7 linked regions of the Xenopus tropicalis genome follow. The protein of the gene in region 1 interacts with the protein of each later gene in a biochemical or structural test. Links are inferred from orthologs where the notes say so. Each region holds a gene or a part of one and is shown on either strand. Other genes may lie near its edges.

Region 1 (4,265 bases):
TTAAAAAACTTTTTAATTGCAGTACCACCTCAGTATATGTTCTTTTTGTAGTATGCAGGGATTATTTGTGGGTTTCTACTGCTCCTGAGGTGTGAAGAAGTGAACAATGGGTGTGATTACAGCCTGAGCCTGAGGTGTGAACACTGCAGGGGGTGAACAATGCAGAGATTAAAAGGTGTGAACAGTACAGGGGATTACATATTTAAACAATACAGCCTGATTACAGCCTGAATCTGAGGTGAGAACCATGCAGGGGGGGGGGGCAGTTAATTACAGTTCTGATACCATTTAAAGCTTACACAAAGGTAAGCCATCAAAGCAGCCAGACAGGTGGGGGGCCACACAGAGGGGGGCCGCGGGCCGCATGCGGCCCGCGGGCCGCCAGTTGGACAGCACTGGACTAGACTATTAGACTAGCTGCTATAGGTTGGAAGCTTTTGACAGCCGGATTGTGTCAGATGACAACTTTAACGTAGTTAACAGACTCTACTTTTACTATCAGTAGCATTATTTATGGACAAGTGGAACTATTTGGATTATGTGCTTTGTTGACCGTTGTGTAGTTCAGCCCAAACTATGAAGAATGAATAGAATCAAGCCACTCTGATCCATAGTTTGCTGTATTATCTATGGGGTCAGTATGAGCTTGTATATACATCCTGTCACAGTCACTCATTCTCTTGTTGTCATACTGACCATTACTTTCCTTCCTTTCTACTCATACACCCACAACCGTTACTGTCTGGCCTTGTTTTCACTGTCTCTTACAATATCTTTTGACTCATGAAAATATACCGTAATGGCTACGACTGTATGTTTATTAATTTTGACCATTTGTTTTTAGCCTTCCTGGTTGAGGAATATTTTAGCTAAAAACACAAGTGTGTTCAAAAGAAATTTGCCAATTTCCACGTTCAAATTATACATGATTTAAAGTCAACCGAAACAACACCCCTCCTCGCACACTCACACAAACTTCCTTTACAAGCTGCTTTCTGCTGTGTAATTCAGTTGCACTGCAACAGTGCTTCCTGCTTCATGCAACCACAAAGACTGGTGCATCCGATGAAAAAATGGCTCCCCGTGGAAAACTGCTCTTTCAATTAAGAGACATTTAATGACTTAAGTGACTAAACAGCCACTGGTCTGTCCAGTAAATGAGCCTATGATCCCTCCCCTTCTAAGCCACTTGGCCAGAGAAAAGGAGGCATGTGGATCTATTTGAGTCAGCACCAATGCATGGATGTAGATTGACCCATGTCTGCTGAATGAACTGCCTTAAATGACTGGGCAACACAGAAGGAGAAAAGGAGCTGGTCCAGATTCCTAAGTAAGGAAAGTAAAAATCCATTTTCAATTAAGATATTCTTTTGTAATAAAACTGTAAGAAGTTATAGGTATAAATGTCATGTAAGATCAATGGCTCATAGACCACTGGGAGTGCTATGCAGAACACATGATTTCCAATTCTACTCACCAGTGCCCCATGTACCATTGCCCTAACAGCTTTCATAGCATGGCAACTCATCTAGTATCTATCTACTACAAGCCATAGCCCCACAAGGGCCAGTGTGCAGAACAAGATATTTAGCTTGTAGCTGCCTTGCTGTTGTTCTTCTGTGGATCCCTAACAAATGAGGAGGATGAATGGGTTTCAGAGACCCAGGCTGGGGTTCCCACAGTCATGCACATGGATGCAGGGTTCATACCACAATCACTAAAACGCCAACAACTAAAGTGAAAACATTTGACTAAGCTGCAGTAGCCCCATGCAACTCCACTTGGTGCTGCTTCAGTTCACAGCCTAACGAGTTTCATTAATTAATATTTAGTAGGGAATCAATGGCTAGGCCTATAAGGAAAACAGTGTGAGGCATCTGTATAATAAAACATAGTTAATGCAGTAGAGAATATGCATGTTTATTCTTCATAACTGGGATTCCCAACATGCAAGCCTGCAGCTACTTAAAGGAGTATACTCCTTGCCTAACATGAGTGCAATAAAGAGGGTTTGTGCCAAACATACTTTTTGTCTATTGTTTTAATTAAAACATATCGATGGTGTTTGTTATTGCTTTAACTAAATTGGGCAAACAGAGCAACTGAAGCGACTCCATGATTCTAACTTCCTGGTTCTTGTAAGGTAGATAATAAGATTATGAGAGCACAGTTGTACCCTCTGTAGCTTGGGCATCTGTTTATAAGTATCCCCAAAACAGTTGCAACAAAGGGTTAAAGAGAGGGAGTTGCTTAGACTAAGAAAATATGGAGTTTTTTGTTTTGTTTATCAATGAAAAGAACAGTCAGAATGTATTTTCAGAAAAGGTTATGATAGGCTATGGGGGATTAAGGTGTATCCCACTCCTTATACTCTAAGCATCACCTAAGGAAGTGAGAAATGTGGGTGCTGTGGTTCAGCAAGAGCCCTGAAATACAAATGATAAGCTAAGCAGGGTTATCTTGCAATAGTGCCCTAGCTGAGGATGCTGGGAAGCTGCACAACGTAGCAGCTTGGAGACAATCGAATATGACATTCCAGGTCTCCACAGCCAGTCATGGGAATGATACTCAGCTCCCCAGCAGGCCTCTCCCTTTCCCACGACCCCCTCCCACCCCGACATACAACCCACCGTAACTTCCTCTCAGAACGCCCTGACAAGCCAAGGAAGCTCACCTGAGACAGGCAGCGGAGCTGGGTAGAGAAAGCGCGCCCCGGAGCCTGGCACCATGTGCCCCAGCACACACCTCACCAACACGGACCTCACAGAGATTCCAACCGCCTAGAGCTTCTACCTCTCCGGCCAGGCATCAGAAACCACCTAGCTCCGCCCACCACTCCTAGCCACGCCCGCGTACAAGCAACGCTGCTCTTTTCCTTGCCACAAACCAAGCGTCGTCATACTTCCACCCTGCGGCCACGCCCACTACAAAGAAAAAAAATGTACTGACGGCGAATATACCCATTGCGCAGGCGCAAGGGTAACGCTTGTGCCGTACTGCCGGCGTTAGGTCATTGTTACCCTAATATGCTGCTCCGCTTCGGCGCTTTTAGTTTCATTTCAGGAAAAATAAGGCAAGGCTAAGAATCTGAGAGTTCCAACCTGGACAGTCTGTACGACAGTATTTGTGACTTGTCATCTCACGTCCCGCTGGAGGGCATCGATTTGTATTCCTTTTCTTACTTGAGAAATTTACTGACGTCATGAACAGAGGGAGATGCGCATGCGTAGATTATGCAAATGATATTTCATAATTAACATGTTTCAGTGTGATTTTCGGGGTTTTGCGCGTAGCTTGGGGCACAAAAGCTGAAAACAGGGGTCGCCCCCCTAAGCGCTGGCATATGGTAGGGTCTGCAGAGGGGTGGGACGGCCGGGAAGCCTCCCCATATGCGCATGCTCACAGCCTGCTTTCTCTGCAACTAGCAGCTCTATTAGCAATAGCCTGTGGTACGCTATAACAGGTAACATAGGGTGAAATGATGCTGGTATTGGTATGGTATTAAGGGCTTTAGTCTTCAGCAAATGTTGGTGTATTAGGTGTGGTACTTACTGGGAAGGGATAGCAGGTATAGTAGTGAGCCTATAGTAGCAGTGGGGGAATAATAGCCTCTGGGAAGGGACTGTGGCTGTGGGATAGCAGGTATAGTAGGGAGAGATGGTGCCTATAGTAGCAGTGGGATAATAGCCTCTGGGAAGGGACTGTGGCTGTGGGATAGCAGGTATAGTAGTGGGAGATGGTGCCTATAGTAGCAGTGGGGATAATAGCCTCTGGGAAGGGACTGTGGCTGTGGGATAGCAGGTATAGTAGGGAGAGATGGTGCCTATAGTAGCAGTGGGATAATATCCTCTGGGAAGGGACTGTGGCTGTGGGATAGCAGGTATAGTAGGGAGAGATGGTGCCTATAGTAGCAGTGGGATAATTACATAGTTACATAGGGTTGAAAAAAGACCATTGTCCATCAAGTTCAACCCATCCGAGTAAACCCAGCACACAACCTATACTAACCAATCTATACACTCACATACATAAACTATATATATACAACCAGTAATACTAACTGTAGATATTAGTATCACAATAGCCTTGGATATTCTGCTTGTTCAAAAACTCATCCAGGCCCCTCTTAAAGGCATTAACAGAGTCTGCCATTACCACATCACTAGGAAGGGCATTCCACAGCCTCTGGGAAGGGACTGGGGCTGTGGGATAGCAGGTATAGTAGGGAGAGATGGTGCCTATAGTAGCAGTGGGGGTATAATAGC
Region 2 (4,241 bases), on another chromosome or scaffold:
AGCAATGTGCAATTCAAATTTGCAATGCAGTAACAGTCTAATGATCAATATTACATTGCAATATGTGAATTGTTATTCATATTTGTATGCATTTTTTTCCATTTAGGTCTTTTTTACATTCCCCCATTGAAGTATCCTTTTTGTAGAGCCAAAAAATTGATGTTGGTTATTCCTGTGAAGTTCTAGAACCTTGTAGTCAATGCCTTACGCCATGGGGCACAGGCCAGCCCTAAAGGTGGCCATACACGAGGCGATTTCGCTCGTTGTGCGATGAACGATTATATCGACAAACGATCGTATGGCGATCGAGTTCCCATACGATATGCCATCCACGGGCAACGATAATTCGGGAAAGATTTTGTCGCATCATTATCGTAAAATACCTACGATCGTACATCTACGTACGATCGATGTCGTTGCTGGCAATCGTGACATGCGCAGAGAACAATCGTTGAAAGACAAATGTCTGACACTCACACCAACTGGCAGATTTTATCGTTAAACGACCAAAATTTTTAAACCTGGCCGATCGATTTTGGGGACGATAATGTCGGCTCGTTTAGTGGGCCGACGATCGTTCGTACACCACCAACTATACGATAACTTAACGATAGCATCGGATCGTTCGCGAATCGGTCGTTTGTAAGTAAAAAATCGGTCCGTGTATGGCCACCTTAAGCCGCTCTTTACTTTGCAAGTTTGAATGATGTACAAATTAGAGGGTTGTGGGGGACAAGTGGGGGGACACCCACATGCCTCCCACCCCTCACCAATACAGTGCTGATTAACACAGTCACTAGTGGCGTAACTACCAGGGGAGCAATTTGCAAAGACCCCTTACTTCTATTTTATTAAATAAATGGATGTGGCCTCTTTGCTAAAATTCAGACGAGGGAATCCTGCTGGATTTGATCACATTTTCAAGATGTGGTGTCTATTCTGCAGGATATGTTATGCACCTCGGAGCTGTCTAACACCATTCTACTGTGTGGGGTATTAGAGCTAGGAAGTAGCACTGAGCTCTAACACCCCTCTAAACCTTTATTCTCAGATGCAACTCACAGACATGGATTATGCCTTTTTGTTACCTCAATAACTATATTATTTCGTACACAATTCCCAATAAATTGCATTTTTTCAATATAATCTGAATTGTAATTTCATGCCTAGTATTTAGGAATACAGTTCCAAAGTTAACAAACAATTAATAGAGAATTGTGTGCCATTAAATAAAGTATGCGCCATAAATTCCCTATTAATAGTGCTGTAAGGGAAGGAGTATGATTAATAATTGTTTTGTTTATTTTTTTTAATGTAGCTACAGCTTAACACCATAAACGAGTCTCATTTGAGGAAGTGGTACAGGAAGTCAGTTGCCTTTTTCTGAGAAGCGAACGTTCACACCAAGGGGAAGTTGCATTTTCAAAAGATGATTCAGTGTAACTGAATGGCAAAAGCTGCATTGTGTATTGTGTCTGTATTGTTTAACTAAAGCAGGCACTGACTACAAATTTCACAGGAATAGACAACATCTTTAAACTTCTTGGCTTGGCCAAAGGGATACTGTGAAGGCAACTGACTAATATGAAACAACCTGTTCTGTAAAAAAAAAGAAAGAAGAGAAAAAACATGGATTTCCGAAGCATCCCTTCATGTTCCGAAGTCAGCTGTTGGAGCCCTGAAGCTCTCATTGAATATTTTAGAGCTGTAAGTACTGTTATATAAAACTATATATATACTGTATGTATTCTGCTGTTATACATTTTACACACACACACACAGCTCATAAGAGCTAAGAACTTTCTGCAGTAGCGGTATCAAGTGGTTCCTATAGAAGTCAACAGGAGGTGGTGAGACTCTGTTTAATGCCAGTAACAACACAGTATTTAGAACCTGTTTTTAGAACCTTAGAATGCAAGCAGGAATGTTTAATGATACGCATTTTGTAGCTGTTATTATCTAAGAAAAGAAAAAGTATATATTTTTTAGTATATTTCTACCACTTGCATTCTAAGATTTGTACATAAAATAAACATATTTATTTTCAGTAATAAATACTTTTTTCAGTAGTTTCCTTTTCAGAACTAAGTTGTGTTTTCAGTTTCCAACTCTCCTAAATATTGTGAGACCTTGATAGAAGGGACCCATTTATTTTGTTCTTGGCTTCTAGCCTCTTATTGACAGAATTGTTTATTGGACTTTTTGTCTCTGCCTAGCTATAGTCCTTCTTACCCCATATGCAATTTGTCTGCTGAAATACAGACACAGCTCATTTTATCTAGATGTTTCACACATTGTGGCATGAACCATATTGTACCATTTGTGCCATATAAGCTCTGTGATGCCACAATGTTTGCTCCATCTGAATGAGCCAGTTTAACCCTTGCCATGTGTTAGCATTCAGGCTAGACTTGTGCCATGCAAAATAAAAGTAATGCTGCACCTCTCTGAGCTCAAATTTGGAACTTTTTGGAATACTGTAGCCTTTTTACTGCTGCTCACTAATGTTTTGTGTCCCCTATGTCCTTTACTGGCTGTACTTCCACCTTTTATTTCCCTGCTGTTTCTTACCTTCGCTTATGTTTGACAAAATGCTTTAAAGGCCTTATAATGGTTTGGCAACAACGTCAAATGTTGAATGTGTCTCTGTTTTACATGAGAGAGGTTTTGCATGTAGTGAGCTATAAATTACCCCCGTTCCCTGTTATTTTTTACTTAATGTTTAAAACAGTTGGATTCTAAATGGGGGGCCTACAGCACAACTGAAGCCTGAATATCAGCTGGCAAAGTAGTTTCTTTATATAAACTCAGTTAGAACCCTGGAATGAAATGTGCAAATTGGCAAGTGAAGGGTGGCAGGTCACTATATTTAAATGCAGACACAACTCTTTTAAAATTGTGTTGTTACTGGGCTTTAAATTAATGTAGTCTCATGCACAAGTCATTAAAAAATGTTACATTATTTTAGAGGTATGGGATCCATTATCCAGAAACCCGTTATCCAAAAAACTCAGTATTATGGGAAGGCCCATTTTAAAACATATTTCCTTCTTTCTGTAATAATAAAACAGTACCTTGTACTTCATCCCAGCTAAGAAATAATTACGCCTTATAGGAGGCAAAACAATCCTATTGAGTTTATTTAATGTTTAAATGTTTTTTTTAATAGACTTAAGGTATGGAATTCCAAATTACGGAAAGATCCCTTATCTAATAACCCCCAGGTGACATTCATTCTGGATAACAGGTCCCATTTCTACTTGTTTTGCTAGCAGCCTATGGAATAACATATTCAGTAACACATTGCCATTAACAGCAATGAAATAGATATCTTGTAGCTTGGCAGTGTTGTCCACTACATATTCAACACCTGTGGTCAGTGGTTAATGTGGTTCCATAGTGGGTATCTTAATGCACACACATACCCACACGCAAACAACATTTGCATTGACTATATAGACCAAAGAATAATACTAATGTAGCATCAATGCTAGTCTACAAGCAATATCTCAAATGCTATCAATGCTTTGTCAAATCATTTACTTTTTTCTCCTGTAGATCAGTAAATTATAAAATATTTTTTAGCAAACTTACTACTACAGTAAAAACTCAATTTTACATACCCTGATTTAAAGTTTTTCCTTATTTATACCCTTTTTTTGTGGTTCGACCATTATATAGTGCATAAAGCATTTTCCTGATTTTATACTATTTTTTTGGTCCCCTGAAAAATGTAAAATGGGGGTTCTGCTGTATATATAAAAGTCTCTCTATGCATCCATCATTTACTCCTTAATATTAATGTGTCATGTATAAACAGGAGAGATTTAAGGATTTTTTGTGAATGAGATAATTATATTTAAATCTATGCTTTCCTAATTTGCTTTGGTATTATTACCTCAACACCATAAAATCTATATGAAGTCAGCAGAAAGCCATTTTATAGAATACAGTATATCATATGAATACCCATACATTGTTATAAACCGTTATTTGTGTCATTATCAGGTATAATCAGTTCTTAAGTTCTTAATGAGTTGGTTACTCTATGTCTATGTAATGAAAATGTAATTAATTTGTGTGTGTGTTTTTTTTTTAAATGCCTTTATGTTTGTTTCCTTTTAAAAGCACAACCTTCGTGATTGTGAAAAGTTGGTCAAAAAGCAAGGCATTACCGGAAAGAGATTTTTGGTAAGAATTTGATTCCATGGTTAATGCACTGGTCTTTTTAAGGCAGTACA
Region 3 (4,007 bases), on another chromosome or scaffold:
ACAATGCAATAAGCTATGTAACAACAATTTGTTTTATATACATAATATTTGAATCCTCTCAAATAACACTTCACAAGCAAATTTAGAGATGCATAATGACTGCACCTGGCACAGGCAACCCCTGGCATATCTGCCTTGCACATTACAACCACATCCCACCTATTTGTTGCCTATACAGTATGCACTATGCAGAACTGGACACAGTAGACACATATTTTTGTGTTCTCTTTGCTTATAAGGCACAAATCCCAGGAAAACATGGTGAAAAGTGCAAAAAAGTTTGCATCTGTTTTTTCGCACTTTGCAACTTTCCCTGTTATTGTGCATTAAAGGAGAAGGAAAGTCATTTTGGCATTTTACTGCCAATAGATTTGCCACATTAGTGCCACCTAGAACACTATATTTATTCTGCAAAATCCATTACTAAACCTGAGTAAACAGCTTTAGAAGCTTTCTTCGTTTGCTTAAGATAGCAGCTGCCATTTTAAGTAGCTTCTTTCCTGCATCTCTAGCTCAGATCACACATTCCTAATGGAGGGGGGAGGGAGTTCTTAGCATTCTAGTGGAAGGGGGAGCAAGAGAGGGGAGCGAGGAGAGAACTGTGCAGACTCTTGCCACGGGAATTAAGGATCTTTCTGAGAGAGGAAGTCAAACACTAGAACATCATGTTTATAAAAAAGAAAATCCTGTGTTTCTTTTGATAGAGTGCAGTATTACTGTAAGTGCTTATGACTGTATTTACATAGACCTTTCTGATAAAGCTTAGTTTTTACCTTTCCTTCTCCTTTAAGTCTAATATCTTAAAGCTATCTTTTACAATTAAGATAATAAATCTGCACCAGCCATCCAAAAATGATTCATCAAAATAAATGTGATGCAGAACAAATTACAGGATAAAGTACCTGTAAAGTACCTGTAAAGTATGCCCCATTTTTCAATATGAGTTGAAGGAATAGGGCTTGTCCTGAACACACTTTTTGCATTCTGTTTTAATCATAAAAAAAAAATGTTTTTTGTAACTTCATAAGCTAAACAAGGAAACTGAAGCTGACCCATGTTTGGTCCTTGTGAAGTAGATAATCCTTCTACATAATGGACAAACAAAAAAACCATCACAACAAAGGGAGCCGGTAGGGGATGCAATACTGATAAAATAATTATCTACCTTACAAAGACCAAACATGGAGTAACTATTATTTCCCTGTTTGTCCTGTATAGCTCAGGAAATAATAAAAAACATAACATTTTTCGTAACTGAAGCAAAAGGCATTTGATATATTCAGCACAAGGCTAAAATACAGACTGGATGGCATCTAGTGTTATCCAAGTTATAAGCCATCTAGTCACTGTACCGCACATTTTGAGACTCCATTATGTACCACCAGTCCTTTCTGTGATGAATGGTGGTTATTTGCAGGCAGGGTATTAGCATATTAGCATTAATTATTTGAAGCCCTGCAAAGGAAGAGAAGAGCTGTATGCGCAGCAGAGCGCACAGTTACAGGAAGCCCAGAGGATGCTCTGTGTGTGTGCACCTGTTAGATGAGAACCACAGGAAGCAAGCTCTGAGAAAACTGCATGCACAGCATGGACAGGGTTGGTGGGGGAGAGGCACAAAAAAGGCACAGGGTTTCACTGTTAGAATGGAGGTACGAGATGAAGCCTGGCATTGTTTAGCTGACTCCAAGATACACAGATGATGGTGTTGCTGGGTCAGCAATTAAACAGCCCTCTTTATGTTTGCAAACATTATAAGATGTGAAACAATTTCCAGTAAACCAATTTACCACTTAACCTACTATCCCCCATGTGAAAATGACATTATTTAAAGAAAGGCCAAACTGGTTTTAAATAAGAGATACTGTCAATACTACATTTAAAACTATGATACATAGTATTATACAGAGCACAGAGAAGCTATCTGTGCCTCTTACTTACCTCAGTGTCCTAGAACCACTTTCCATTTGAACTTCTGCACTCCCAAAGAGGGAGTCAGTGATAGCATATGCACTACGAGACAGCAATATCAATTTGAATTAAGAATATATCCCTATACATCAAAAGGGTACCTAGTGTCATATGTTCCACTCACCAAGAAAGCAAGTGCAAGGCAAGTACAGAGCTAGAACTGCAACACTGCTGGAGGTGAAACTAGAGTTAGACATGACCTGTGTGAGCATGAGGCGCAGACTTTCAAGCATTTTGGGTGCAGTTTAGGGAAGGATTGGTGAAGGATTAAGCTGCATTCTCCCTGGTATGCGGTATACCCACCATAACAAAATATTTTTTCATTATTTTATTTTAGTTTTAATGTTTTTTCAACATGCAAGTAATACAGCATGCAATTACCCATAGAAGAATAAGACAGATTAAAATGATGAAGCAGCAATACATTACATATCCAAATTTCTGAGGCCTATCCAAATGTACATAGCAAATGGTTCAATGTAAATAGTTTGAGGTTAATTATCCAGAAAGCCATTATCCCTAAAGTTTTGATAAATACAGCATTACCATATGTACTATTCAAACAAATTCACTTTTCTTATACAGGCTAGTAGCATCCCAAATTCTTCTAGAAACCCTAGTAACATTTTACATTCCCCTTTACCTTAAAAACTTCACCGTAGCTTCCACTGCCAAGTCTCTGGATTAGCTCAAAATCATCCTGAGGATCCCTGTCCGATATATCTAAAGTTAAACGGCCCTGGACATCCATCTTGCAGGCAGCCAGGGTGCAAGTGAATGAGCACAGGAAGACTGCACAGGCTGCAGCCTTCACATTGATTGGTGTTGATAAATGTTGTAGCTTCCTGACAGGCTGAACACTTTACACTTGATGTGTGTGAGCATCCGGTCCCCTGCTCCTTTTCACACACACATAGGCTACTGCTCCTTGCCTTAGTCACATATCCTGGTGACTGCCACGCCCTGTCACAAACATTATATCGCCCCTATCCTCCAGTTCTTTTGGGAAAAGCAGCAGAAAGTACAGCTACACTAATAAATTATCCACCACTAACCAGGTCACTTCTAATAAAATCTATTTACTTCAAGGTGGTTAATATTTAGCTATAAAAGCCCGAACATACAGCTTCAGTGTTGCTATCTCCCACCCAACCATCAAGCTGGCCTCCAGCACACCAAGAAGGGCAGGAGGGGGAGAATTTGCTATTGGGCTCTCCACTCAAAAAGAAAAGTTATAAATTTTCAACTTGCCTTACCACTGAAACAGAGGTGCTTTAAGCAAGGCAAAGACCCCAGGTCCCCATCACTGTGTTAGAACTTATACAGGATCACAGCCATTACTCATCCTCTCTCCTGATTACAATGCTGACCTTTCTTGTTTCTTTTCTTAGAGAGGCGGACTGAACCAGAACTACATTATGGTGCGTGAGAGACACTGCTTTTGGTACTCTGTTACAGCTGTTATGGGTGCAAGTGCTGGAGCATTAAAGGGGACCTGTCACCCAGACATTCCAAATTAAACACTAAACCCATTTTTTTTTTTTTTTTAAATTAAAACATCAAATACCTGTTATAAAGTTATTTGAAAATCTAAGTTGTCAACCATATATTGCCTGCCCCACCTCTATACCCCAGGCATTGAGGCAGGCAGTTACTTTCACTTTCCATTCTAGATATAACTGCACTCCTCACATTCCCCCACTCTACTCATGGTCTATAATTGTGTATCGTCTGTATGTTCATGGGGATCAGTTCCCCCATTTTGGTGTATAAAAAACATTTTGGGATGATGCAAAGCTTGTCTTAATAACAGTGCCCACAAAATGACACCTGCCTGCTTTGCTGTAATTGTGAATTCCAAGACTGAAGGAAACGAGGTTTATAAAATTTAAATAGTCATAGTACAATTTATTTTGCCTGACTAAGGGGAGAAAACCTTCTGTAGCATTCAAACAATGCTTTGAACCTTGCTCAGATTAAATATCTGCCACAAGGTGTAAAAAGCAGGCGGTAATTATAGGACTCTCCCATTCCAGGGG
Region 4 (4,011 bases), about 89 Mb from region 1:
AATATCTGAATTTTTTTTCTTTACTATTTCACATTTTTTGTTCAGGAGCTCTCTAGTCTGTCATTTCAACTGCTAAAACTAGTCTGTCACCAGATTGCTAGAATCATTGATCCAAATCCATAAAAGTCAAGAATTGGCCTAAATGACAGAATAGAAGACAAACAGAAGAATGGCTGAACAGAAATAAAAGACTGATTAAATATGACAATAAGAACCTAGCAAATACATGTATATACATTTGGTTGTTGGGCTTGGACCTGTGATTTTAGAAAATAGACATATGTTTACATTGCAGAGAAAAAAAAAATATAAATTCATAAAAAAATAATAATTTACTAAGTTTCCCTTTACTAAACCTGTCTGACATGACTCACTCAATTTTTCATTTTCAAAACACTTAGAGGAGGTCTAAAATTTAAACATTGAGGGGTACACTCCCCAGTGATTCTAACTGATATCCTCAGACCCTGAGCCAGAACTCTTCTTGGCTGAAAAACGTGGCAGCCCAGGTACTATTCCAGTGAGCATTGCAATGCCATTTTGCCAAACTTTCCCAAGGATCACTTTCTGTTGGTCTGGGTTGCATGCATGTGCAGACCTTTTATTGTAATGAGTATTACACTAGCAACATAAAAATTAGGTGTATATTTTTTTTTATACAAGTTTTTCATAAGATGTACAGTAATGTGACCGTTATGGCATTGTTCACCTTCCAGACACCAGCAATAATTTTATTCAATTGCTTTTTAATTTGTATTTGTGATTGGTATTCTAATATTGCTTTAAAACAGCTCTGGGAGAGGGTGGAGTCACAGACACTGTAACCTGTTCTAATTTGATATGTCAGTTACTACATTTCTTATCTTGGACTCTGCTGAGTATAATGCTGGAGTTTTATTAAAAGCAGCTAACATTCCACAGCTGCTGCTGATAAATGTATCAACTAATGTAGCAAAATGTAACAGTTCAGGGTCTGCACCTGGATTGCTGAGCTGCCAAACACAAGAGACAGTACCATTAAAGTTTAAACTTCAATTTTAGAAAAATATACATTAGAAATAATAAATAGAAGGCAATTGAAAAAAAAAAAAAAGCCTTGTTGCATCTGAAAATGTCTGTGCTGAAAAAAAAGTGAACAAACCCTTGAACCTGTGGGAAAGGATCATAGTTGACACCTACTTTTGCCCCTTGCAGTACTTAAAATCAGATCTGGCCTTGGTTTTAACAGACATCTAAATATCACAGCCATAAAGAGGACCGAGATTTCATTTCTGACTAGTTGGACCAGCTAAGTTCCATTATACATATCCATTTAATTAGTGTGGAGTGTGAATAAGGCCAGTGACAGGGGACAGCTGTAGTCATTTGACTTTTATGTAAAAGGGGACTTAAAACCCACAAATACAATGCTATCTAATGAATGAAAATTTTAAGAAACTTACCAACATGCAATTCATTAAAATGAAATGATTGGTTTTAAATGTATTTGTGCATGCAATTGCAACTGAAAACTGTATTTTTGTACCATCTCTTGATACTATGTAGCAGAAGCATGATTATTTGGAGGTCTGTTAATTAGCTGCCTTCTGCTACATTGTTTAAAAAGACAGGCCTTGGTATACAAAAGGTCAAGCAGAGTTTTACTTTTCAATAGCAATTACATTTACAAATAACATTAAAACCATTGAAAATGTGTAGCTGAATTATATTGGAAAGTTTATAGGCAGAGTTTTTTAAGGTTCCATGTAACAAAACAGCCTGTGGCCTCTGGGTGTTGCAGAAATAGACTGGTTTGTCACAGGTTGAACATCCATGTTGTAACCCCTCTTACCTTTTTCAGGGCACCAACCAGCAGACCCTTCCATTTGGGGGAGTTCTCCTCACTGAAGAAGTCGTACTGAAACTGTGGGGCCTGCATGACGGCTTCCCTCGGCATTTGTAGAGCTGGGGGCGGATTATCCTAATCCTCACAATGCCAGGTGGGGGAGAAAGGCGCCTGCCAGGTAAGGAGACTGGGTCCTTCAAGTGGGGGTGCCACTTATGCTCCCCCGCCCCGCCAGATAAACTCCACCGCCTTCCAAATGAGCAGATGCCGGCTTTAAGGCAACAAATGATCCATAAGGGTGGGGAAGTTGAAGAAGTTGCCCCTTAAACGGGGCAGCATAGGGCGCACATTTCCCCTTTGGGAGAAAGAGAAGGAGGGGGGCGGCTCATGGACACCGCTTGCACTTGACAGCTGCCTGTACATATATGACAGCTGTGTGTATACATAGGAGATGGGTGGGACTAGGCCGGAGGCACGCACTTGCTTACTCCTAGTCCCGACCTCTCTTAATTCCGGGGTGAGCTAGGAGGCCGCGGATGGAGGTGCGATTCAGGGGCTGCTCTGCCCTCCCGGGCCCACACAGGAGCTGCCAGCGCGCCGCCCCGTCTCTCTGCTAATAACAAAGGCAGACTGGGAAGCTCCAGTGGCGCAGCGTTCTCCTTGAGCATCCAGAAAACGGGGGTCTGGACGGGCGTCACTGGATAAAAAAAGACACCCCGGTTCCCCTCCCTGTTGTCTGCTCCTTCGCCGCCCCTCCTTGTTTACGGCCGACTTCTCTTTCCCTTAGCAGCTCGACCCAGCCTGTGGTAATGATGGCGCAAGAGGACTCTTGATGCGTCACTTTGTTATTATTTTTGTTGTTAGTTTATTCCCCCCACACTCTCGCCAGACAGCAGCGCTCAGCGGCCGTTGGAACAGACTTGTATTGCGACTGCGCGCAATCTAGGGGGCGACAGAAGGGCTGCCTGCCGCCGTCATGTGACCACCGACCTTAACTCCGCCTACGCCTGATTTAGCCACAAGCGCACCACTTTTTTTTTTTTCAAATAGCTTTATTATTATGGTACTATACCTTTGATCAGCGTACTGCATACAAATATGCTGCTCAATACATTCAATGTATTTTCATATAAACCTGCAGTATTGGGGAAACCTTATACATTTTTTGCTTCATTCTCTTGATTTTTCAATTTATGTCAAGTTTACTTACCACAAACCCCTAATTTGCAGGGATAGTTCTGATATTTGTTCCTTGTAAAGCATCTTGTTAGTTTTTAAAACTGTGTACAGTGTCAGACTGATGTGTCTGGGGCTCACTGGGGCTGCCACCTCAGGGGGCCACCCAACCCCAGTCTGAGCTCCTCCACTGCCCCATCCTCCACCCACATGCAGCTTGCGCGTGATATCAGTTCCGCAGTGTCCTGACCCTGTACCTCTAAACCTGCCCCCAGCTCTATCACCAGATTTCCTAAGGAAATCTGCGGGCAGAGACTGGGTGCATTTTTTTTTAAATTATAAATCTAATATATAGGCACTATGTAGCTCTCGTTTTTTGCTATGCTTTAAGGATGGCTCTAAGTGTATAGCCCCATGAGAGGAGACACCAACCCAGTAGTGTAACTACATGTTACTGGGCCCCACAGTAAATTAAATTTAGGACCCCAAAACATTAGTAAATAAATGTATTTATTTGTTAGGGGCCTAAGAAGACTGCTTTAGTAATCTTTCTTTTAAACCTACCTTGATACACACATCAATTTCTTTTTACTTTTTTTTGTTTTTTTGCCCTAAAAGTCCTTTTTGACCAGTAAACAGTGTATCTACTTTTTTCAGTTTATTTGTTTTCAGATAGTACACCAGATATAAAAACTTTTCAGTTGCCATTTTTTTTTATTTTTGACCGGTTTTCTAATATTGAAGTTCAAAGTGTAATTTTTCATCTTCTCATCTCTCTAAAAATCCTCTGGGAAGAGGTCACTATACACTACTCTAATTTCATACATTAGTTATTACATTTCTTACATTTGGCCCTGCGGAGCATAATTTCTGAGTTAAGAGTTGCTAACATTGCACAGATACTGCTGAGAAATGTATCAACTAATGCAGTGCTGTCCAACTTCTGTGGTACCAAGGGCTGGAATTTTTCCGTCATATATGGTGGAGGGCCGATAATGGAAGCTCCCCTT
Region 5 (2,920 bases), on another chromosome or scaffold:
GTTTAACATTCCAGTATTCAATGACAACAGCAGTCTGCAAACCCATACATAGACTAGGTCCTCAAAACTAAATAATAAAAATGTTGTAGGACACTTACATATTCATCATATGTTTCAGGTGCAGGAGGTGGAAGAGAGATTCTCTGGATAGCAGCACCACGGGCTCTTCCAGCGGGTGCACCTCGGCTAGCAGAGGAAGGGGGTACAGGGCGGCTCACACTAGCACCACGCGATATGGCTCCACGTCCGGGGGCACCTCTTGGAACAAGAGGGCGAAGAGGCCCAGCCCTGCCTCTGTTAATATAAATTTGTACATAGTCTCATCCAAAACCCTGAACATCTTGCATACAAAAGTTTACCTTAAAGGGGGAAAAAGGGCTGACAGGGGGGAGTGACACCAAAAAGTAACAAACTTGCAAAGCTTCTGCTGTAACCCTTAGCAAATGTAAGTCAGAATATCACAACTGGCAATGCTTGAAAAGCTAGGGTTATACAGTACTGAAGAATGCTAAAAGGAAAGGTGAGAGTTCGGTTGGAGGCTGACCCAGGTTAAACAATTTTTAGTTTTGTTTGACAGTTTGATTCCTGCAAGGAGTAACATAGCAGCTAGCTGCCTTAGAGATTACCTAGAAGAAGGAGCTGCAGCAGGTGGTGGACCCCCTCTGCCCCTGGATGGTCCACCTCTTGTTCCACCTCTGCTTTGCTCTGGTGGTGCTCCATTAAGATAAGATAGCTCCATAAACTGTTCCTGACAGATATCATCCATCATGTCCTGGTATGAAAAAGACTCAGGTGTCAGCTAAAAGAATAAGAAAACTGTTTACTCAGGACTTTGCTGCTGAGTAGTTTTGAAGATTAACAAAAAAAAAAAAAGTTAGTTAGTGTTCTACCTGCTATGCAATATTCTAATTACAGCCATCAACACCTAACCACACATCCATTGACATCAGTTTACTTCTTTACATTTATAACATAAAAATGAAAAATGAGCCAACAACTTTACTATCACTATATGGTTACAATAAGCTAATTTAAAAGGTCCAGCGGAAGACAAACTTTTCAGAAGTCAAAAAAGTGTGGACTTTTCTCCTAAATCTATAATAATTTCAGTGCTTGTTTAAACAGCAGCAAAAAAACTACACACATTTTGCTTTTGGCCAATTCCTAAAAGTTTACAGTAAAGTTATAGAAAAAATCCTTTGACTTTATTCAGTACTTACTTAACTAATACTTGATTAGGATATTTTTACAGCAAATTACATTACAAAAAAAAATTGATTACACATACCGGAACCAAGAACTTCTTGACTTCTTCCATTGCATGTGCCATACGTGTATAAGATTCACATGGTGGTCCAAAGACCTCTATGAACACATGAAGGTCCATATTCAGATGGCTGTATTTGGGGTCCCCTCCTTTCCGCAGCTCTTCTTCCTGAAATCAATGACATGATTATTACTATGGGTTTTCCTTTTACACATTACACTATTGGTCTGTGAGGCTACAATTTTATTGTTACTTTTTACAACTTTTCTATTCATGCTCTTTCCTATCCATATATTAGTCCCTCATTCAAATTACTCCCTGGCTGCCAAGATAATTTGGACCCCAGCAAACAAATAGCTGATAAAAGCCACTGAAAATTTACTGAAAAAAATAAAAAAAACAAAACAGGAGAGCAGCTGAACGTGAACTAAAAAAAAAAAAATTATATATATATAAAATGAAAACCAACTGCAAATTGCTTTGTATCACCCCAAAATTTTGTGTATGTGCCAGAATGAGGGACCAGATGCCCATGCACTAGCTACACAATTAGATGGTTAGGAGGGAGGGGAAAAGTGAGAGCTGAATTGAAAGTTTAAGTACTTGTCTGCCCCGCCTCTATGCTTAAGGCATAAAGGCGGGGCAGGAAATATTTGATTGATAGCTTTTTTAATGCCTTTATAATGGGTTTGAATGTGTTAATATAGAAATGAATTTGGGTTTCATGTTTAATTTGAAAAGTACAGGTCCACTTTAACAGGAAAAATAAATAATTTAGCCCTTACCTTTGCCTTATCTCTCATTGATCCCTTGCCAAGAACAGAGATTTTTGCTCCAGTCTCCTCCTGTAACCTTTTGATGGTGTTTCCCTGTGGTCCAAGGATCTTTCCAACAAAGTTAAACTACAAAATTGGGTAAAAATGATGATTACAAAAGGCTTCTTTACACTTCCCAAGTTACACACTTCACTTACATATAAGTTATTTATTAACTCGCAATCATAATAATTTGCTTTTTAAATCACATATGGGGTGAGTGAAGAATCTTAAAAGCAACAAAGACAAGTTACAGCTAAAGCGACGGTCCCCAGATTTTTTTTATCCTTGAGCCACAATTCCAATCTAAAAACTTGTTATAGATCAACACAAGTATTCAAAAAGAACCTGGGGTACCAAATATGGACTGTGATTGGCCATTTGCAGTCCCTATGTGGACTGGTAGGAAGCTATGTAAGATGACCTAAGTTGGCTATACATGCTCAAGTAGCGTAACCCAATTTTGACTACTCTGCCCAAACCATCTGCTTGGAAGGTTTGTTTCAGGTTGATTTTAGCACATCGGCACATAAAGGCATTTAGCGAAGCTGCAAAAAAGCAACAAAACAGAGCCATCCCTGTGTAGGGTCGACACGCCATCAGACCACTGAAGATCAACCATTGCATAACAATCTTTAAGCCAGTTGCTGCAAAAAGACTTATTGCAAAGTTTCCCTACAGTTTCCTCAATGGCTTTACATGTAATTAGTTCAAAGGTGCCATGTGGTAGAATGTAGCCCAACAGTGTTATCAGACTGGAGTGACTGGTTGATTTGTTCAGGTCAGGAATCTTTAATGTATGTTGCGGCAACCTTCTCATGTAAGCTTTACAATTGTT
Region 6 (4,263 bases), on another chromosome or scaffold:
TCAGTATAATATATAGGACTTCTGTTTAGTTTTAAATTTATTTTTTTTTTAAAAATCCATGTTCCTTATTTTTAATATTATAAACCTTGTTTATCTGAAGGCCAAGAATCCGCCATGTGTGGCAGAAGCTATAACTAATCTGCAGCCTTTGTTTGTATAATCTTTCTATGCAAAGATAGACTGGTAATCTGTTTTACTACCTACTCCTCTACTGAGGACTGGTAATCTATTTTACTACCTACTCCTTTACTTCCTACTCCTTACTGGACAGAACCAAGAAAGTATATATTTATAAGGTAAAATTGGCCAAGCCTTATTTCTTGAGCTTATGTTGAATAACACCGTTAAACAGTTGTAGATTAAGCCCAGTCTACCTGCGACTGTAGACAATGTTGCAACAGTGTTGTACCTGAGCCTGTAAGAACCCAGTACCATATTCCCCTACCCCTCTATTCCCACTTCAGAAGAACCTTTTCAACAGGCAAGAGTGCTACTGCATATTAGGATGTAACATGCAACTGAAGAGTTCCCAGCAAAGTAGCTGGGAAAGGCCCTCAGAGGTCTTGGGCTGGTACCATGTGTAGTTATTATGTCCAAGGGTTTGTAAGTTAAGAATCCATACTTCATGCATTAAAAACACATATGATTACCTACCTGTTACATGTGCAGCAAGTCTACTTTCTTTTTTCTCAGTTGGGTGTTTGTTCAACCCTGTAAAAAGAGCAAACATTCAATTGATTTTCCAGTATGGTCCTAACCTAAGCACAAAGTGCAAAGTGAGAGAAATGCTAGGTAGACCAAGGCCAATTGTTGTTGATGTTGCAGGAAGGCTCACAGTTATTAGATGTAGCACCAAGCATTCCAACACTGGTTAAATGAATTGCCTGCATTGGCCATAGGCAAGAAATAGAAATTAGTACTTCACAACCTCAAAGTAACCGTCAAGTGTTGCTCACCAAATGCAGCAGCTAAAGGAGAACACTTCTAGAACTTACTCCCATATAAACTCTGCTAAATAGCATATGCCACACTTTTATTTTATAGAGAAACATATTGTAACTCACCAATTAATTTTTCCAAAGCAGGAGGTAATGCCTGGTCACCAGAAATCTAGAAAGAAAAAGTTTGTGGAGATTATTTGCATTTCCAAAAATCATTATCAGCTTTATGAAATCTGCATATGAACTGCAACTATGGAAATCATTATCTACTATACTATTTATTTCCAGCTGCTAAGTTGCTTTCTTTTCTATTACTAGACAAGGGGTGAAGCTTGGGCTCAAAGGAAACAGTGATGGATATTCCAACTGCTTTAATGTCAGTGTGTCTGGGGAAAAAAGTAGTTTCATGGAGCAGGAGCTCCTCCTATTGGATACTCTCCAAAAATATGCTTTTTAATTGCAGCAAGAAACACCTTTGGTCCTGTCTTCGTCCTGTGCACCTCCAAAGCAATTGGATAGACAGAAACACAGTAGCAGGAGTAAGGTGGTGCATTGGTTTTCTTAGTTCATGGTTACTTTAATATATACCACATATAAACCAATCCACGACACAGCTAATTTTTTAGCTCTAGAACAAGCACATTTTTAAAATCCCTCAATGCACCATTTAGAAGAAGTGGAGTTAAAGTTTTTTAAATTCTGTACATAGGTACAGGTATCAGACCCCTTATCCAGAAACCCATTATCCAGAAAGTTCTGAATTAAGGAAAGGCCATTTCCCATAGACTCCATTTTAATCAAATAATTCACATTTTTAAAAATTATTTTTTTTCTCTGTAATAATAAAACAGTACCTTGTACTTGATCCCAACTAACATATAATTAATCCTTATTGGAGCCAAAACAATCCTAGTGGGTTTAACTACAGTTTAATTTTTTTTTTGTTAGCAAATTTAAGGTAGGAGATCCGAATTACGGAAAGACCCCTTATCCGGAAAACCCCAGGTCCCAAGCATTCTGGATAATGGGTCCCATGCCTGTACTTGCCCAGGGATTTGTTAATTATATAAAAAAAAGTAATCACAGTTTTCCTATTCTCATGAATTAATGGAATTCTATAGACCACTAAACTATTATAGTGATATTATTGAAAAATATCTTATTGTAAAACCAAGCTGCATTATTATTTCTATGACAAATTTAAGGGTACCATCATTTTTAAATGGTGATGTGGAGAGAACCAAAGGTTTTTCAAGTAATTTATGCCCTTCCACTGAAAGCCCTGCCATGAAGTACAGCAGATAACCATGACACTGGGACAGCGGAGTCAATCAGCTTTCTGTGCATACAGAGGAACCACCAGAAATTTGTCTGCATTGGATCACTGTTTAAGGGCCACCAATGAGCAACCCTAGCTTGGTCAGAAATATCATTATAAAGCTTTTCTATGCTGCCAGATAAAACACTGGCAAGTTACTTAGGTTGGTTAGGTTAAAATAAAGAAAAAATCTAAAATTAATATGTTATGTACCTCCTTAACGTTGTCCAGTTCCTTTTGCAACTCGATGATTTTATAGGTGCCAAGACCAACACCAAAAAGTGCTAGCAAAATCAGAAGGAACATGATCAGCAAGTAAGTACAAGTGCCATCTTTACGTCGTTTTCTCCTGAAGTCCGGGAATGGGGGTGGTAGAGGCATATTGACTTGGTTTGGTGGCAATGGTGGCAATGGTGGGGTTCTACATGGATCCGTCCAAAAAACTGAAGGCTGTGCGTATCTCATATCTTGCTGCATAATGGGATTTGTCAATCTGAAATCAACGTAATGTGCTGCTGATGTCTTTGTATTGTGCTGTAGTTTTAGCTGCTGAAGGAAAAAACTGTGGTTGTTTCATGTGTAAGTACATTTATAGATTCTAGCTGCTAATTCACACCACCCTCTTCCACCCCCTTTCTTCCTCTCTTCATAGTTCAAAAGTGGAACAGAGTGTGATTCAAAATGCTACAGCATTCTCTTACTTGGTCATTCAGAGAGTGTATGGACTAGCAAAGCATAGGGATCAGGGTGCTTTTAATAAATCATAGTATTTTTAAAAAATATAGTAAAGGTTTTAAAAAGGAATGTTGGGGTTGACATTGCACAAAGGGTCACGGTTAACTGTTTCTATAAGCCGAGGACCTCTGCAAGTAGTTTCTATATGCCAAGCACCGGTCTACTCTCAGCCCACTGTGCAACCAAAGTGATATTTTACAGTGAATATAAAACAAACCACCATGTTCTCAGGACAAATCTCTTTCTGAAGTGGGTGTGATTTTGCTACTCAATAAGTTAATATGTATATAACTGTATATGACTTGGTAATAATAACAGGTGCATTCTGGGCAATTCTGCTGCCTAAGGGGGCAGAGCCCAGCTGTCAAGTGTTAGCCCAATGCCTAACCACAAATAACTCCCCATTGCCACTGTGGAGGGCCTGGTAGGTACATATGTTGGACGGAAGGTAGCCATTCCTGACTGGAGGTTTGCCTCTTGCTACTGCTGGAGATTATAATGCTTTTCAGTAGTTAGAAGCATTGTCAGTCTGTTTGAAAGAGGCATTGGATCTTAAAGTTACAAGTGTTCCATGGTAGCTATTAGCTGTTCCTTGCTGTTTACCTAGCCTGATGGCCAAAGCATCCCTGAGTCATGCTGGTGTCTCAGTAGGTTTTGTATAGCCCAATGCTCAATCTATTTATACCAAAGGTATACAAGAGGGGCTGCTGTAGTCTTTAGTTATCCGCTATGAAAATGGACCTTATGTGGCTTCCTTCATAGCTACAACTTGTCCCTTCTAGAGAATGACAATAAAAAGTACAGTTAAAAGCCAGTTGTGTCTGAAAAAAAAAAATACATTACAGTCACAGCATATATGATATGATGAAAATGGTCACTTACTCAGCTAAGCAGAGGCAAAGCAAGACAATGCTCAGTCCATAGTCATGGCACTTAAAGGACTCCTCTAAAATTACTCCTTTATATGACAGTTACCATCTTATTTCATTCTTCCAGGGATCCCTAGGTTGACAGTTGACATGCATAATACAGTAAAGTCAGAAAAATCCCGGTACTGAGCCTGCACCAACCCAGGGTAGCACCAGGTATCCCTGGGAGCATAACAAACTATGGCCCATAAAGGTCAAAGGGCCCTAATAAAGCAAACCAAAATAAAAAGTACAGTAGGTTTTAGCACAGTGGTTTATATTTATGAAAGATCTACTAAAGCTCATTAAACAACAGTTAACAATATAATACCAAAAACATAATAAGGGGGCAAGAAAGAAA
Region 7 (4,140 bases), on another chromosome or scaffold:
TAGCAACTATATGTCCTAGCTACTAAAATAGACAGTGCTTATCATCTACTGATAATTGTCTCTACGTGTGTTTTAGCAGAGGCAATTCTCAGTATTGTCTATAGCAAGGTATTTTCTGGTGTTCAGTAATGTGAAAAAGTAGCTTCTACTAGTAACTCAGTGTGTCTTCACCCTAAGACTTGTGAATTCCACTTTGCTTTGTGGTGCAGTTGCTGAAAAAATGTATGAAATTTTGGGTTGGGGGGAATCAGAACTTTAATCTCACAGTCATGATATATTCATGTGCCATTTCTATTCTACACATACACCTGGAAACCAAAACTGTCACAAAATTAGTTTCTACCTAGTCTGTGAACATATTTGATTAAAACTATAAAAAAAGCATATGTGAGAAAAGATCGTGTGTCATGTCAGGGACTCTTCAATGACGAAGAGCGGGTTCAGCTTTCCCTGCGCTAATCCCGGACCTGCCGCTAGGCGTCCCCGCTGATCTGTAGCCTTTGAACATGTTGTGGGCAGCGGTGGAACCTGTTCCTTACACTTGTTTCTTTTGATGCGATTGTTTACGCAATTTGTTCATTCTTTCTTAGCATTGTGGAAAAGTTTCGAAAGGTGTGTCTTAAAGGCACAGAGCAATGGCGTGAGACAACCTGTCTCTAGGTATCTGCTGGAAAACCAGCCCAAACGGAGTTACTGAGTTAACTAAGACCGTTTTAGAGACATGGCAGACTTTTCAGTGTCCAGTCATTGAGATTTAGTATTAGATTTAGTAATTTGTATTAATTAATTAGTTAATTAAACTAAACAAAGTGTTTTGGTAGTTTTATGGGTTGCACCCACTTAAGGGTCCAACATTTGGCCAGACTCCCCTTAATTCGTAGCAAGGTAACCTAAAATAACCTTTGAGGAATTCACTGACAAGAATATACAGCGATTAACTGACAGGACGTGAATATGTAGCATAGAAAGCGTTTGCCTAAGACTTAACCCTACATGAGCCTCAGCGTGTGCTTTCAGGGGTATCTAGAAGAGTTAATAGGCATTTCGCCCAATTTCACTCTAACTTGGCTTTAGGCTTGGTCCCGCAGCCATTCTTCTACGTCCCCTAGTGAAGCCAGACCCACAGTTTGGGACCCACTGAATTAGAGGTTTGGAAAAAGGATGTTCGAACTATTGCCCTTCAACTATGCAAGGCTGTGGGAATTCTGGGACTTGTAGTTTAAAAACAGCAGAAGCGCAGTAAGTTGCACTGTCACTGATTCACAGGTCTGATCGCAACCCATTTACCGGCTCTGGGCCAATCAGAGCGCGGGTGGGAGGGGCCTAATACAACTTTCTCTTGTGCGAGGAATGTGTGAGAGAAAAGCGCTGTCAGAGAGTGAGAGTCCCGGCTGCTAACCCTGCGTTCTGCCGTCCGAGCCCTATCGCACCCAGGATATTGTTATTGGCTTATTCCTCCCTGCCCGGGCCATGTGCCAGCTCACTGACTGACACCCAGCGGGACCCACAACTGCCAAGCATGGGGATCTTGCCGGGAGGATGGACTGCCCTGGTGCTGATCTGCTGCCTTGTGACTATGGAGCCAGTGACAAGCCAGAATGGTAAGTGTCACACCTGCCCACACCGACACCTGCAGCCTGAGCCTGGCGTGTAGCCGCTAAGCATAGTCCTAGGGGAGGGGGTGGGCACTGGCGGGCATTGGCACTAGACCTATTGGCACCGAATTTGTGGTAAGAAATCAGGCAGCAGGTTTCGTTACATCTGAAGCTGCAGTGATGCCAGTGATGCCCAGGTGGGAGTGAGGGAAAACTTTCATTGTGCGAGTTTGTTGCTGGGCAAGTGCAGCTCCTCGTTTCTATGCGGTACCCCCCCCCCCCCCCCCCCATCTGTGGCCTCGGAACGTGTGGCGGCCAGCGGCGGAACCTGTTCCTTCCACTTCTTCCCTTCTTCCTTTTCACTCGATTGTTTTCGCAATTTGTTCATTCTTCCTTAGCTTTGTGGAAAGGAGTTTCAGAAAGGTGTGTCTTAAAGGCACAGCTCCTTTTGTCATAGTGTACCTGCTGGAAAATCAGCGCAAAGTGCAGCATTGATTTATTAATGGCCATCTTAAAGGCACACAGGGCAGGTCTCACCCTGTACTCCTTCAGTTGTGATATTCAGCTCATGGAACTCAACATCTTTTGTATCTCAGAGATTGCTGGGTTTCTTGTTAAATCCCAACAGTTGAAGGTACCATCACACTCTCCTACTATACCTGCTATCCCACAGCCACAGTCCCTTCCCAGAGGCTATTATCCCACTGCTACTATAGGCACCATCTCTCCCTACTATACCTGCTATCCCACAGCCACAGTCCCTTCCCAGAGGCTATTATCCCCACTGCTACTATAGGCACCATCTCTCCCTACTATACCTGCTATCCCACAGCCACAGTCCCTTCCCAGAGGCTATTATCCCCCACTGCTACTATAGGCACCATCTCTCCCTACTATACCTGCTATCCCACAGCCACAGTCCCTTCCCAGAGGCTATTATCCCTACTGCTAATATAGGCACCATCTCTCCCTACTATACCTGCTATCCCACAGCCACAGTCCCTTCCCCGAGGCTATTATCCCCCACTGCTACTATAGGCACAAACTCTCCCTACTATACCTGCTATCCCACAGCCACAGTCCCTTCCCAGAGGCTATTATCCCCCCACTGCTACTATAGGCACCATCTCTACCTACTATATCTGCTATCCCACAGCCACAGTCCCTTCCCAGAGGCTATTATCCCCCCACTGCTACTATAGGCACCATCTCCCCCTACTATACCTGCTATCCCACAGCCACAGTCCCTTCCCAGAGGCTATTATCCCACTGCTACTATAGGCACCATCTCTACCTACTATACCTGCTATCCCACAGCCACAGTCCCTTCCCAGAGGCTATTATCCCCCACTGCTACTATAGGCACCATCTCTCCCTACTATACCTGCTATCCCACAGCCACAGTCCCTTCCCAGAGGCTATTATCCCCCACTGCTACTATAGGCACCATCTCTCCCTACTATACCTGCTATCCCACAGCCACAGTCCCTTCCCAGAGGCTATTATCCCCCACTGCTACTATAGGCACAAACTCTCCCTACTATACCTGCTATCCCACAGCCACAGTCCCTTCCCAGAGGCTATTAGCCCCCCACTGCTACTATAGGCACCATCTCTCCCTACTATACCTGCTATCCCACAGCCACAGTCCCTTCCCAGAGGCTATTATCCCCCCACTGCTACTATAGGCACCATCTCCCCCTACTATACCTGCTATCCCACAGCCACAGTCCCTTCCCAGAGGCTATTATCCCACTGCTACTATAGGCACCATCTCTACCTACTATACCTGCTATCCCACAGCCACAGTCCCTTCCCAGAGGCTATTATCCCCCCACTGCTACTATAGGCACCATCTCCCCCTACTATACCTGCTATCCCACAGCCACAGTCCCTTCCCAGAGGCTATTATCCCACTGCTACTACAGGCACCATCTCTCCCTACTATACCTATTATCCCACAGCCACAGTCCCTTCCCAGAGGCTATTATCCCACTGGTACTATAGGCACCATCTCTCCCTACTATACCTGCTATCCCACAGCCACAGTCCCTTCCCAGAGGCTATTATCCCACTGCTACTATAGGCACCATCTCTCCCTACTATACCCGCTATCCCACAGCCACAGTCCCTTCCCAGAGGCTATTATCCCACTGCTACTAAAGGCACCATCTCTCCCTACTATACCCGCTACCCCACAGCCACAGTCCCTTGCCAGAGGCTATTATCCCACTGCTACTACAGGCACCATCTCTCCCTACTATACCTGCTATCCCACAGCCACAGCCACAGTCCCTTCCCAGAGGCTATTATCCCACTGCTACTATAGGTACCATCTCTCCCTACTATACCTGCTGTACAACAGCCACAGACCCTTCCCAGAGGCTATTATCCCACTGTTACTATAGGCACAATCTCTCCCTACTATACCTGCTATCCCACAGCCACAGTCTCTTCCCAGAGGCTATTATCCCACTGCTACTATAGGCACCATCTTTCCCTACTATACCTGCTATCCCACAGCCACAGTCCCTTCCCAGAGGCT

Evidence for each region.
Region 2: the proteins of nck1 (region 1) and lcp2 form a complex in vitro, tested with the Homo sapiens proteins (2 studies listed by BioGRID and IntAct, with this or other methods). The link is inferred for Xenopus tropicalis from reciprocal best matches to the Homo sapiens genes NCK1 and LCP2.
Region 3: the proteins of nck1 (region 1) and map4k1 form a complex in vitro, tested with the Homo sapiens proteins (2 studies listed by BioGRID, with this or other methods). The link is inferred for Xenopus tropicalis from reciprocal best matches to the Homo sapiens genes NCK1 and MAP4K1.
Region 4: the proteins of nck1 (region 1) and sos1 form a complex in vitro, tested with the Homo sapiens proteins (2 studies listed by BioGRID). The link is inferred for Xenopus tropicalis from reciprocal best matches to the Homo sapiens genes NCK1 and SOS1.
Region 5: the proteins of nck1 (region 1) and khdrbs1 form a complex in vitro, tested with the Homo sapiens proteins (3 studies listed by BioGRID, with this or other methods). The link is inferred for Xenopus tropicalis from reciprocal best matches to the Homo sapiens genes NCK1 and KHDRBS1.
Region 6: the proteins of nck1 (region 1) and faslg form a complex in vitro, tested with the Homo sapiens proteins (2 studies listed by BioGRID and IntAct, with this or other methods). The link is inferred for Xenopus tropicalis from reciprocal best matches to the Homo sapiens genes NCK1 and FASLG.
Region 7: the proteins of nck1 (region 1) and erbb3 form a complex in vitro, tested with the Homo sapiens proteins (2 studies listed by BioGRID and IntAct, with this or other methods). The link is inferred for Xenopus tropicalis from reciprocal best matches to the Homo sapiens genes NCK1 and ERBB3.

What each region holds. Positions count from the first base shown.
Region 1 is NC_030681.2:132,192,638-132,196,902, forward strand, and holds the start of nck1 (cytoplasmic protein NCK1), read right to left. Parts: upstream 2,801-4,265; 5' UTR 2,675-2,800; intron 1-2,674. UniProt on the Homo sapiens protein: Adapter protein which associates with tyrosine-phosphorylated growth factor receptors, such as KDR and PDGFRB, or their cellular substrates. Maintains low levels of EIF2S1 phosphorylation by promoting its dephosphorylation by PP1.
Region 2 is NC_030679.2:32,309,771-32,314,011, forward strand, and holds the start of lcp2 (lymphocyte cytosolic protein 2), read left to right. Parts: upstream 1-1,441; 5' UTR 1,442-1,629; coding exon 1,630-1,707; intron 1,708-4,128; coding exon 4,129-4,191; intron 4,192-4,241. UniProt on the Homo sapiens protein: Adapter protein primarily involved in signaling pathways within T-cells, as well as other immune cells such as platelets, mast cells, and natural killer (NK) cells.
Region 3 is NC_030684.2:80,455,411-80,459,417, forward strand, and holds the start of map4k1 (mitogen-activated protein kinase kinase kinase kinase 1), read right to left. Parts: upstream 2,801-4,007; 5' UTR 2,720-2,800; coding exon 2,612-2,719; intron 1-2,611. UniProt on the Homo sapiens protein: Serine/threonine-protein kinase, which plays a role in the response to environmental stress. Appears to act upstream of the JUN N-terminal pathway.
Region 4 is NC_030681.2:42,909,279-42,913,289, reverse strand, and holds the start of sos1 (son of sevenless homolog 1), read right to left. Parts: upstream 2,801-4,011; 5' UTR 1,937-2,800; coding exon 1,832-1,936; intron 1-1,831.
Region 5 is NC_030678.2:86,525,397-86,528,316, reverse strand, and holds part of khdrbs1 (KH domain-containing, RNA-binding, signal transduction-associated protein 1), read right to left. Parts: intron 2,170-2,920; coding exon 2,053-2,169; intron 1,436-2,052; coding exon 1,289-1,435; intron 800-1,288; coding exon 627-799; intron 295-626; coding exon 99-294; intron 1-98. UniProt on the Homo sapiens protein: Recruited and tyrosine phosphorylated by several receptor systems, for example the T-cell, leptin and insulin receptors. Once phosphorylated, functions as an adapter protein in signal transduction cascades by binding to SH2 and SH3 domain-containing proteins.
Region 6 is NC_030680.2:107,206,071-107,210,333, forward strand, and holds the start of faslg (tumor necrosis factor ligand superfamily member 6), read right to left. Parts: upstream 2,801-4,263; 5' UTR 2,737-2,800; coding exon 2,473-2,736; intron 1,111-2,472; coding exon 1,065-1,110; intron 712-1,064; coding exon 655-711; intron 1-654. UniProt on the Homo sapiens protein: Cytokine that binds to TNFRSF6/FAS, a receptor that transduces the apoptotic signal into cells. Involved in cytotoxic T-cell-mediated apoptosis, natural killer cell-mediated apoptosis and in T-cell development.
Region 7 is NC_030678.2:137,736,574-137,740,713, reverse strand, and holds the start of erbb3 (receptor tyrosine-protein kinase erbB-3), read left to right. Parts: upstream 1-1,340; 5' UTR 1,341-1,519; coding exon 1,520-1,601; intron 1,602-4,140. UniProt on the Homo sapiens protein: Tyrosine-protein kinase that plays an essential role as cell surface receptor for neuregulins.